Linked DNA regions of Macaca mulatta. The protein of the gene in region 1 interacts with the protein of each later gene in a pairwise test. Links are inferred from orthologs where the notes say so. Each region holds a gene or a part of one and is shown on either strand. Other genes may lie near its edges.

What was found.
Region 2: the proteins of MYOD1 (region 1) and ID2 interact in a two-hybrid assay, tested with the Homo sapiens proteins (2 studies listed by BioGRID). The link is inferred for Macaca mulatta from reciprocal best matches to the Homo sapiens genes MYOD1 and ID2.

What each region holds. Positions count from the first base shown.
Region 1 is NC_133419.1:47,742,557-47,747,045, reverse strand, and holds MYOD1 (myoblast determination protein 1), read left to right. Parts: upstream 1-1,600; 5' UTR 1,601-1,832; coding exon 1,833-2,462; intron 2,463-2,953; coding exon 2,954-3,032; intron 3,033-3,313; coding exon 3,314-3,564; 3' UTR 3,565-4,187; downstream 4,188-4,489. UniProt on the Homo sapiens protein: Acts as a transcriptional activator that promotes transcription of muscle-specific target genes and plays a role in muscle differentiation. Together with MYF5 and MYOG, co-occupies muscle-specific gene promoter core region during myogenesis.
Region 2 is NC_133418.1:116,141,427-116,146,012, forward strand, and holds ID2 (DNA-binding protein inhibitor ID-2), read right to left. Parts: upstream 2,959-4,586; 5' UTR 2,849-2,958; coding exon 2,501-2,848; intron 2,166-2,500; coding exon 2,109-2,165; 3' UTR 2,102-2,108; intron 1,320-2,101; 3' UTR 555-1,319; downstream 1-554. UniProt on the Homo sapiens protein: Transcriptional regulator (lacking a basic DNA binding domain) which negatively regulates the basic helix-loop-helix (bHLH) transcription factors by forming heterodimers and inhibiting their DNA binding and transcriptional activity.

The DNA.
Region 1 (4,489 bases):
GGACTTCTTAAGGTCCAGAACCGCCAGCTAGGAAGCCTTCCAGAAGTTAGTGGGAAAGGCACAAAGATCACTCCTGCTTAAATTTCTGGTTTCCAGGAGGGGAGATCCAGGCAGGGATGTATGGCCAACAGAGATTCCTAGCCAGAGTGCTGAGAGGACTGTGTGAACTGCATATTCAGGAAGAGGTTGAGAGGCCCCCACGGGGGTGGCCGGTATGCTGAGGCTTGTATGGGAGCCAGAGTTCCCACATTCCATGGGGTGGTTGCCTCCTCCTGTTTCCAGCCTTTCCAGTGAGGCTGCAGGAAAGAGACAGAGCTGAGGCCTGGAGACTACGTGGGACTCTGTCAGGGCATGGTGCCATGGACGAGTTGTAAGCCTTGGGGACGTAGCATCCAACTCTGAAAGCCCCTTGCTCGAATAACTCTACATCACTGCCTGAGGGCTTCCACATCCTTGGTCTCTTCAGACTCTCATCCCCACCACAATTACTCCAAGAAATTACTGTCATTCCCAAATCTATAACTGGAAACTGAGGCTAAGGAAGGAGACAGGACTTCCACAAAATCACACAGTGGGGACACTCTGAAGTCTGGATTCAACTGGTCTGCAAATCACACTCTCAGAGACTTCAGGTGAGATGAGGTGAGATTCTCAGGCCAGGTCCTGAAGTTTGCGACCTTGGCCAAATGCACTTTCCTTGACTCAGCACCGCGGGTGAGGCAGGGCCAAGAACGGAGGAGAAGGGTTTTCTTCCCAGCTGAAGAGGCAGCTCAGCCTAGACCCCAGGCATGGCACTGGACAACCCTGCTGTGGAAACATGCAGATTTAGATGGACGGGATTCCTCACCTGGGCAGGATCCGAGTTTGGAGAGATTGGCGCGAAGCTTTAGCAGCAATCTCTGATTCCTGTACAACCATGGCGGGGTTTCTAAGCGTCTAGGGAAGAAGGACTGGGCCCACGACCTCCTGAGCAACTCCCAGGTCGGGGACTGGTGGAATATCACAGCCTCTACGACCCGTTTGTCTCGAGCTCTCCCACTTCAACTATCGGGGTTTCTCTGCCTGTTGTTGCACTCGTGCGTTTCTTTGCCCCTGACACTCTAAGCTTTCTGCTTTCTGCGTGTCTCTCAACCTCTTTCGGTCCCTCTTTCACAGTCTCACTCTCTCAGCTCTATGCCCCCAATCCCTTGCCTCTCTCCAAATAACTCACGACCTGATTTCTACAGCTGCTCTACCCATGGGTTCCCCAAAAATCAGGGGCAGAGGAGTATTAAAAGTCAGCTCAGAGGTGAGCGCGCACAGCCAGCGTTTCCCGCGGACACAGCAGTCGGGTGTTGGAGAGGTTTGGAAAGGGCGTGCCGGAGAGCCAAGTGCAGCCGCCTAAGGCTACCAGTCGCTCCCTCCCTCCCTGCCCGGTAGGGAACCGAGAGCGCGCGCCAGTGTGGAGGGGCGGGCTGGCTGGCCACTCTGCGGGCCCCTGCGGCCACCCAGGGGACTCCCCAAGCCCCGCCCCGCTGTGTTCCTATTGGCCTCGGGCTCCCCCGCCCCTAGCTGCCCGCCTGGGCTCCGGGGCGTTTAGGCTACCACGGATAAATAGCCCAGGGCGCCTGGCGCGAAGCTAGGGGTGAGGAAGCCCTAGGGCGCTGCCGCCGTTTTCCTTAACCACAAATCGGGCGGGACAGGACAGGGAGGGGTGGGGGACAGTGGGTGGTCATTCACACTTCCAGCACTTTACTATCAACAGCCAGGGCTCCCGAGCGGCAGAAAATTCCGGCCACTCTCTGCCGCTTGGGTTGGGCGAAGCCAGGACGGTGCCGCGCCACCGCCAGGATATGGAGCTACTGTCGCCACCGCTCCGCGACGTAGACCTGACGGGCCCCGACGGCTCTCTCTGCTCCTTTGCCACAACGGACGACTTCTATGACGACCCGTGTTTCGACTCCCCGGACCTGCGCTTCTTCGAAGACCTGGACCCGCGCCTGATGCACGTGGGCGCGCTCCTGAAACCCGAAGAGCACTCGCACTTCCCCGCGGCGGTGCACCCGGCCCAGGGCGCGCGTGAGGACGAACATGTGCGCGCGCCCAGCGGGCACCACCAGGCGGGCCGCTGCCTACTGTGGGCCTGCAAGGCGTGCAAGCGCAAGACCACCAACGCCGACCGCCGCAAGGCCGCCACCATGCGCGAGCGGCGCCGCCTGAGCAAAGTAAATGAGGCCTTTGAGACGCTGAAGCGCTGCACGTCTAGCAACCCGAACCAGCGGTTGCCCAAGGTGGAGATCCTGCGCAACGCCATCCGCTATATCGAGGGCCTGCAGGCTTTGCTGCGCGACCAGGACGCCGCGCCCCCTGGCGCCGCCGCCGCCTTCTATGCGCCCGGCCCGCTGCCCCCAGGCCGCGGCGGCGAGCACTACAGTGGCGACTCCGACGCGTCCAGCCCGCGCTCCAACTGCTCCGACGGCATGGTAAGGCCGGGACCCCAGGAAGTGAGGAAGTTAGGGCGGCGCTCCGAATATCTGGGATGTGCTTCCAAGGGCGGGGAGCTAGCCTTGCGGGAGGTTTAGTACAGGATCCTTTCCAAGCGAGAGGACCCCCGTGTAATGGGCAGCTGTCACTGGGGTAGCCTAATTGTTTTGGAAGCGTGCGGGCGTGCGTTCGAGCCACCCCGTTGGGGGCGCGATTAGAACACTGCAGCGCGGACATGAAGCTCTTTTTCTGTATTTTTCCCTACTTCCAAAATGTAAATTTGCGCCCCTTGGTGACTGTCCGCCCTTGGTTTGGCCCTGCATGTTGCAGACCTCATCTCCTACCCACCCGTAATCACCCCCAACCAGGACAGGTCTGGGCCCGGAACTCGAGGCTGGGGCTAGAGTTAGGGAGGGGGCGGCTACAGGGATTGGTGTTCGGGCCCCGCGCCGTCCCGCGGGCCTGACTCAGTCGCCCTTGCTGTTTGCAGATGGACTACAGCGGCCCCCCGAGCGGCGCCCGGCGGCGGAACTGCTACGAAGGCGCCTACTACAGCGAGGCGCCCAGCGGTAGGTATTCCGGGCTTCGCCCTGCTCGCTCCTCCTCCCCATGGCCTTCATGGAGCTATCCTGGCCTCTCTCTATCTAGGACGCCCCCACCCCAACTCACACACGCCTATGTCCCGGGAGGTGGTGCAGGCGATGAAATACTAAGCAAGTAGCTCCTTCTTTCGATTGTCCCGGACTCTGACAAGTCCTCAGTTTCCAATCTGTCTCAAAGTACTGGACCCAGGGGTGGGAGGCTTGTCGCGGCCGCACCCCTGCTTACTAACCGAGCCCTCCCCGCGCAGAACCCAGGCCCGGGAAGAGTGCGGCGGTGTCGAGCCTAGACTGCCTGTCCAGCATCGTGGAGCGCATCTCCACCGAGAGCCCTGCGGCGCCCGCGCTCCTGCTGGCCGACGTGTCTCCGGAGTCGCCTCCGAGCGGGCAAGAGGCTGCAGCCCCCAGCGAGGAAGAGAGCGGCGACCCCACCCAGTCCCCGGACACCGCCCCGCAGTGCCCTGCGGGTGCGAACCCCAACCCGATCTACCAGGTGCTCTGAGGGGCGGGTGGCCGCCCACCCGCCCGAGGGATGGTGCCCCTAGGGTCCCTCGCACCCAAAAGATTGAACTTAAATGCCCCCTCCCAACAGCGCTTTAAAAGCGACCCCTCTTGAGGTGGGAGAGGCGGGAGAACTGAAGTTTCCGCCTTCTGCCACCCAGGGCAAGGACTCAGCGCGGTTTTTTCCACGCAGCACCCTTCCCGGAGATCCATTGTGATGGCCGCTCCGTGTTCCTCGGTGGGCCAGAGCTGAACCTTGAGGGGCCAAGTTCAGCTTTCTCGCGCCCTCCCCCATGGGGGTGAAACCCTCCCAGACCTAAGCCCTGCACCGGGATGCACCGGTAATTTGGGGGGCGTGAGGCCCAGGTGCACTCCTGTCCCAAATGTAGCAGGTGTAACCGTAACCCACTCCCAACCCGTTCCCCGGTTCAGGACCACTTTTTATAATACTTTTGTAATCTATTACTGTAAATAAGAGTTGCTTTGCCAGAGCAGGAGCCCCTGGGGCTGTATTTATCTCTGAGGCATGGTGTGTGGTGCTACAGGGAATTTGTACGTTTATACCGCAGGCGGGCGAGCCGCGGGCGCTCGCTCAGGTGTTCAAAATAAAGGCGCTAATTTATACTGCGGTGGCTCCAGCTTTCCCTGGGCATGGGAGTGGGATCCGGAGGAAAATCCGCAAACTGGGCCAGCTGTGCCTCAGCGACCCCTGTAGGCAGCAGGCGGATTGCAAGGAGGAAGCCTGCTGCCTGGGGAAGGAAGGAGGGGTGCAAATTTGTCCAATACGTGGGGAAGTTCCTCTGACCTTGACTACCTCACCACACACTTCCGTGGCTCTTATGGAAGGGTACACAGGTTGATATGAGTATTTTTTAAACCCATGTCTGAGCTCGCCTCCCAGAGATTCTGATTTAATGTTTCTGCCC
Region 2 (4,586 bases), on another chromosome or scaffold:
TGGGTGGGGTTGGCGGGGAGGGCTAAAGGTGTGGACGAAGGCGAAGCCAAGGAGGCATCAGGAGCCTGGGGCCAGGTGACAGCTTAGTTCCCTGGGCAAATAGTAACCCTCGGGTGTTTCTGCCTTCCCTTAAATCTGAAATCATGTTCTGAATTCTGTACAGCCTCTTTCCTTCTCCTGATTAACTTTCATTTACTCCGGAGAAGCGTCTTAACGCCCACTCACACAGGTAGTCCTTCCACACTCCCAGACTCACAACCACAACTCATTCTTGGCTTTAAACTCAGCCCTAAGGCACAGAACCAAGCTTTCCCTTCAGGACTCAGAGGCATTTCTGTGCTCAGAGCCTCCCCAGTCCCTGTCAACTCAGCACTCTGCCTTACCACACATCTGATAAGGAGATTCTCTGTACACAAGTAAAGGCTTCGGGGATGCTGGTGGGGAGATGAGGGAGAAGGGGATAAAGAAAATGTGTGTCGGGGTGCGAGGGAGAGAGAGAGAAAAGAGCGAGTGAGTGCCAGAGAGATCTTAAAAACCACTCGGAATTCAGGTACTGACTTCAGACATGTTTTATTATAATCTTATACAGTCTACATAAATTTGAACTTGTATTTATTTGGGTTCAGTTATAACATAGCATAATAAAAATCAAAGCACTGGTCCTCTGAAATAAAGCAGGCAATCACCATTCAATAAACACACTTGATTTATTTTGTATAAAAGGGTTAAGTTTACAACTAAACTTTTATAAAAAGTTTAGCATGAATAAGTACATCATTACACTTTTTAAAGCAGAAATAGACATCTCTGCCACTATACAAGAAAACTCTAATTAAAGAGTTCACAAGGTTTCACTCAATAGATATATTTATATATAAATATATACACAGCATTCAGTAGGCTTGTGTCAAAAAGGTAATTTCTGACCAAAAGACTTCATTTAAGTGACTGAATACTGGATCCTTCTGGTATTCACGCTCCACCTTTGAAAAAAGGCAAAGTCTGCTTAGATTGGGCAATTCCTTGTGATTTTAACGTTTTCGCTCCCCATGGTGGGAATAGTATATAAAGAAAACCTTCCAACTGCAGAAAGGGCATTTAAAAGTCTTTTTCATAAATAACGAATATCTCAGTCCAGGTGAGAGAACACCCTGGGAAGATGATCATTCTTAGTTTTCCTTCCATTTTTTTTTTCTTTTCAAAAAGGTCCGTTCAACTTGTCCTCCTTGTGAAATGGTTGAAAAGTTCAGCACTTAAAAGATTCTGTGGATTTGTTGTTGTTGTTGTTGTGCAAAGAAAAAAAAAGAAGTCATGAACACCTGCAAAAGATTGGGAGAGAAAGGCATGTTTGAGAGAATGTAACCTAAGGGCAGAGGCGGGCAGACTGGCGCCGGGAGGAAGCCACAGTTTGAACATTTAACCAAACACTCAAAGATTGGGCAAACCCTGGCGTCCAGATGCAACACACACACTCGCCTCGACAGCGCAAATTAAACATTAAAATAGCAGAGACTCAAGGGAAAAACTTCCCAACCCAATCTCCTATTTGGATCTCCAACAGCAGTGCTACAGGCGCCAGTCTGCTTCTTGTAACAATTATTTGATTGAAAACAGCCCTTTAGTTAACAGATAGGGAAGTCTGGGATCCCACATCACAGGGTCTAAGGCACAGGGTAGCAATCCTCAACTAGCCCAGAGAATCCCAGAGGACTATAGTTTTAGGGAAGCAGGATCACTGTGGAATTTGTGGCGATAAGATTAATTACAGTGGAGGTTAGTACCTCATAGTAGTACCAGAGGAATCGTAGGAAGAGCCAGGGCATTACATTTGCTACAAAGCCAATACACACGTTCCTCGGCCGCCTTCGTAGTAAGTTATTGGCATCATTTCCTTTTAAAGGAAAATGTTCTGTGATCTCGAGTACCCAGAACTACAAGCTCCTTCATGTCTAGTGAGACAATGTAGTACGGGTAACACCGCGAAGTAAGCATGCATTTACCAAATCAGACATTTTACAGATACACAAGCAAAAACACATGCGCACACGCACACACACACAGAAGGGCAGTTTACCCACGGGTGGCACAAGCAAACACTCACCGCTTATTCAGCCACACAGTGCTTTGCTGTCATTTGACATTAACTCAGAAGGGAATTCAGAAGCCTGGAGAGAAAGAGGATAAAGAGTACGAGGTTAAGACAATGTTAAGTAGAAAGGGTTTTTGTTTTGTTTTGTTTTGTTTTTTTGAAGTAGTCCACAGACCAGCAAGTTCCATTAAACACGTTTATGGTAACAATTCAGATTCAAAAACAGACGCATTAACATGTCAGAACTTACTAGCAATTTCACGCACAGCTCAATCTACGGCAGATTCTTATGAAAATAAAGTTAAATAGCTCATGCGAAAGTCACCGTCTGGGCTACGTATCTCCTAGTGACAACCCAGGCGACCGCGGGAGTGTGCGGCGGCGGGGCGGGGGCCCCGGAGCAGGTCTTACCTGCAAGGACAGGATGCTGATGTCCGTGTTGAGGGTGGTCAGCGGCGTCCTGGACGCCTGGTTCTGCCCGGGTCTCTGGTGATGGAGGCTGACAATAGTGGGATGCGAGTCCAGGGCGATCTGCAGGTCCAAGATGTAGTCGATGACGTGCTGCAGGATTTCCATCTTGCTCACCTTCTTGTTCTGGGGGATGCTGGGCACCAGCTCCTTGAGCTTGGAGTAGCAGTCGTTCATGTTGTACAGCAGGCTCATCGGGTCGTCCACCGGGGTTTTGCTCCGGGAGATGCCCAGGCTGTGGTCCGACAGGCTGTTTTTCCTAACGGACCTCACGGGACTGAAGGCTTTCATGCTGACCGCGAGGGAAGGCGAGACCGGGAGGGAGCTGGCTGCCCTGAAGCTCAGGCCGCCGCCGCCGCCTGCTGAGCTAGCTGCGCTTGGCACTGGGCTCGGCTCAGAATGAAGCCCGAGCCCGGCGGGGCGGCTTTTATCCGCACTCGCCGGGGCCACACGCTCGGGCTTCCCCTCGTCCCCATTGGTGGAAGGAAGCGCGTCCATCAAGCCGAGCGGACGCTTTCATTGGCAAGCGCGGGCGCGGGGCGTGGGCTCGGTTCTTCCGCGTTCGCAGCCAATCCCCGCGGGGTGGGCGGGACGCGAGCCCAGCTGGGGTGGTAAATAGAGTACAGTACAGTAAGCGCGAGGCGGGCGGGGGGCGGGGAGCGGGGAACCGGGAGCGGGGAGGCGGGAGGCGGGAGGCGGGAGGAGGAGGAAGGAGGGGGGGAGGAGGAGGGAGAGGAGGGAAGATGGGGGAGGGGAAGAAGGAAGGGGGAGGGGGCAGACCCTGGGCGCCTAAATGTGCATTCTTAATTCTAATTCCAAACGCGCGGCAGGACCCTTGCCCTGGGGGTGTTCCCAGACCAAGCCTTGCACACCTTGGAGCTGTCGGCAGCCCTAAAATCACGGCTACACGGGCGAGTTCAGCACCGCAGGGGGAAGCCACAGTTCACTGCAACCCATCGGAGGGAGAGCGTGAGGAAAGATAGAAAGCATTTCAGAAGAAAGTGAAAACGCAAATTAGGTTGTCACTGAAAAGTCACGTTTGTAGAGTGAGTTCGTCTCTTCAGATAAGGAAAAGTTATGTTAACACAAACAAACCACCCACGCATGCATTCGACGACAGGCTTAGTGTGGGTTTTTGCAACCCGGAGCAGCGCGGGAGGCATTACTGTAAACTCAGGAAAATGAGTACTTATTGGAAGCCATGCCCAACCTCGCCGGTCGCTAAGGAGCTCTCACAGGGCGCTTTCAGGGTTCCTTTTCAAGAAGGAGGCAGGGCTATTATAATGATAGTATTAATCGGAAATAATTAGGAGAATTTGCATTTTGAAACTACATTTACATACACTGCCCTTGAAAGGCTGCCGGTCTGTGCCCTTCAGTGTAGGTGGCAAAGTAATGTGATTAATTATGCAAGAATTGTGATTTCTGGTGTCACATTCCAACACCTAGAGGAGTTTCAAAGCTTTGTGACAGATAGGTGGCCCTAGCCATTGATTAACATCTTCACACTAAGAAAAAAAAAATACTCTGTCATATATGAGGTTTGGAATCTTTTCAGCACTAGTGCTGAATACAGGTTCAAGGTTTTGTTTTGTTTTGTTTTGGCTGAGAATGTTTAAGAACTCAGTCTAAATTTTAAAAAGTTTGCAGCTATTTACTCAAATACCTTGCTAATTCTCACATAATTCTAGCTTATCTAGAATTCTGTCCTGATCACAGTATGTCACTTTCTTGTTTTGAAAATATTTTCTCCAGAAAACAATGAACTAGAAAACCCCAGGAAAGGCAATATTCAAATCTTATTTACTTTCTGCCTCAATCTGTACCTCCTCTGCATTTCAGAAAGAGGAAGGGGCAGGCCTAGAGGCTGAAAGAAAAGCTCAATAATGGGGAAACTGTTTTTTCCTTCACTTAATGATTAATTTATCCGCTGGTGGGGCCAGCGGTCTCTGGCTGTCACGTGACAGCTGTGCGCCCCAGGACGCCTCTCCAGGGAAGCAGAGTGGGTGGCGCTGAGGTGGAGATCACC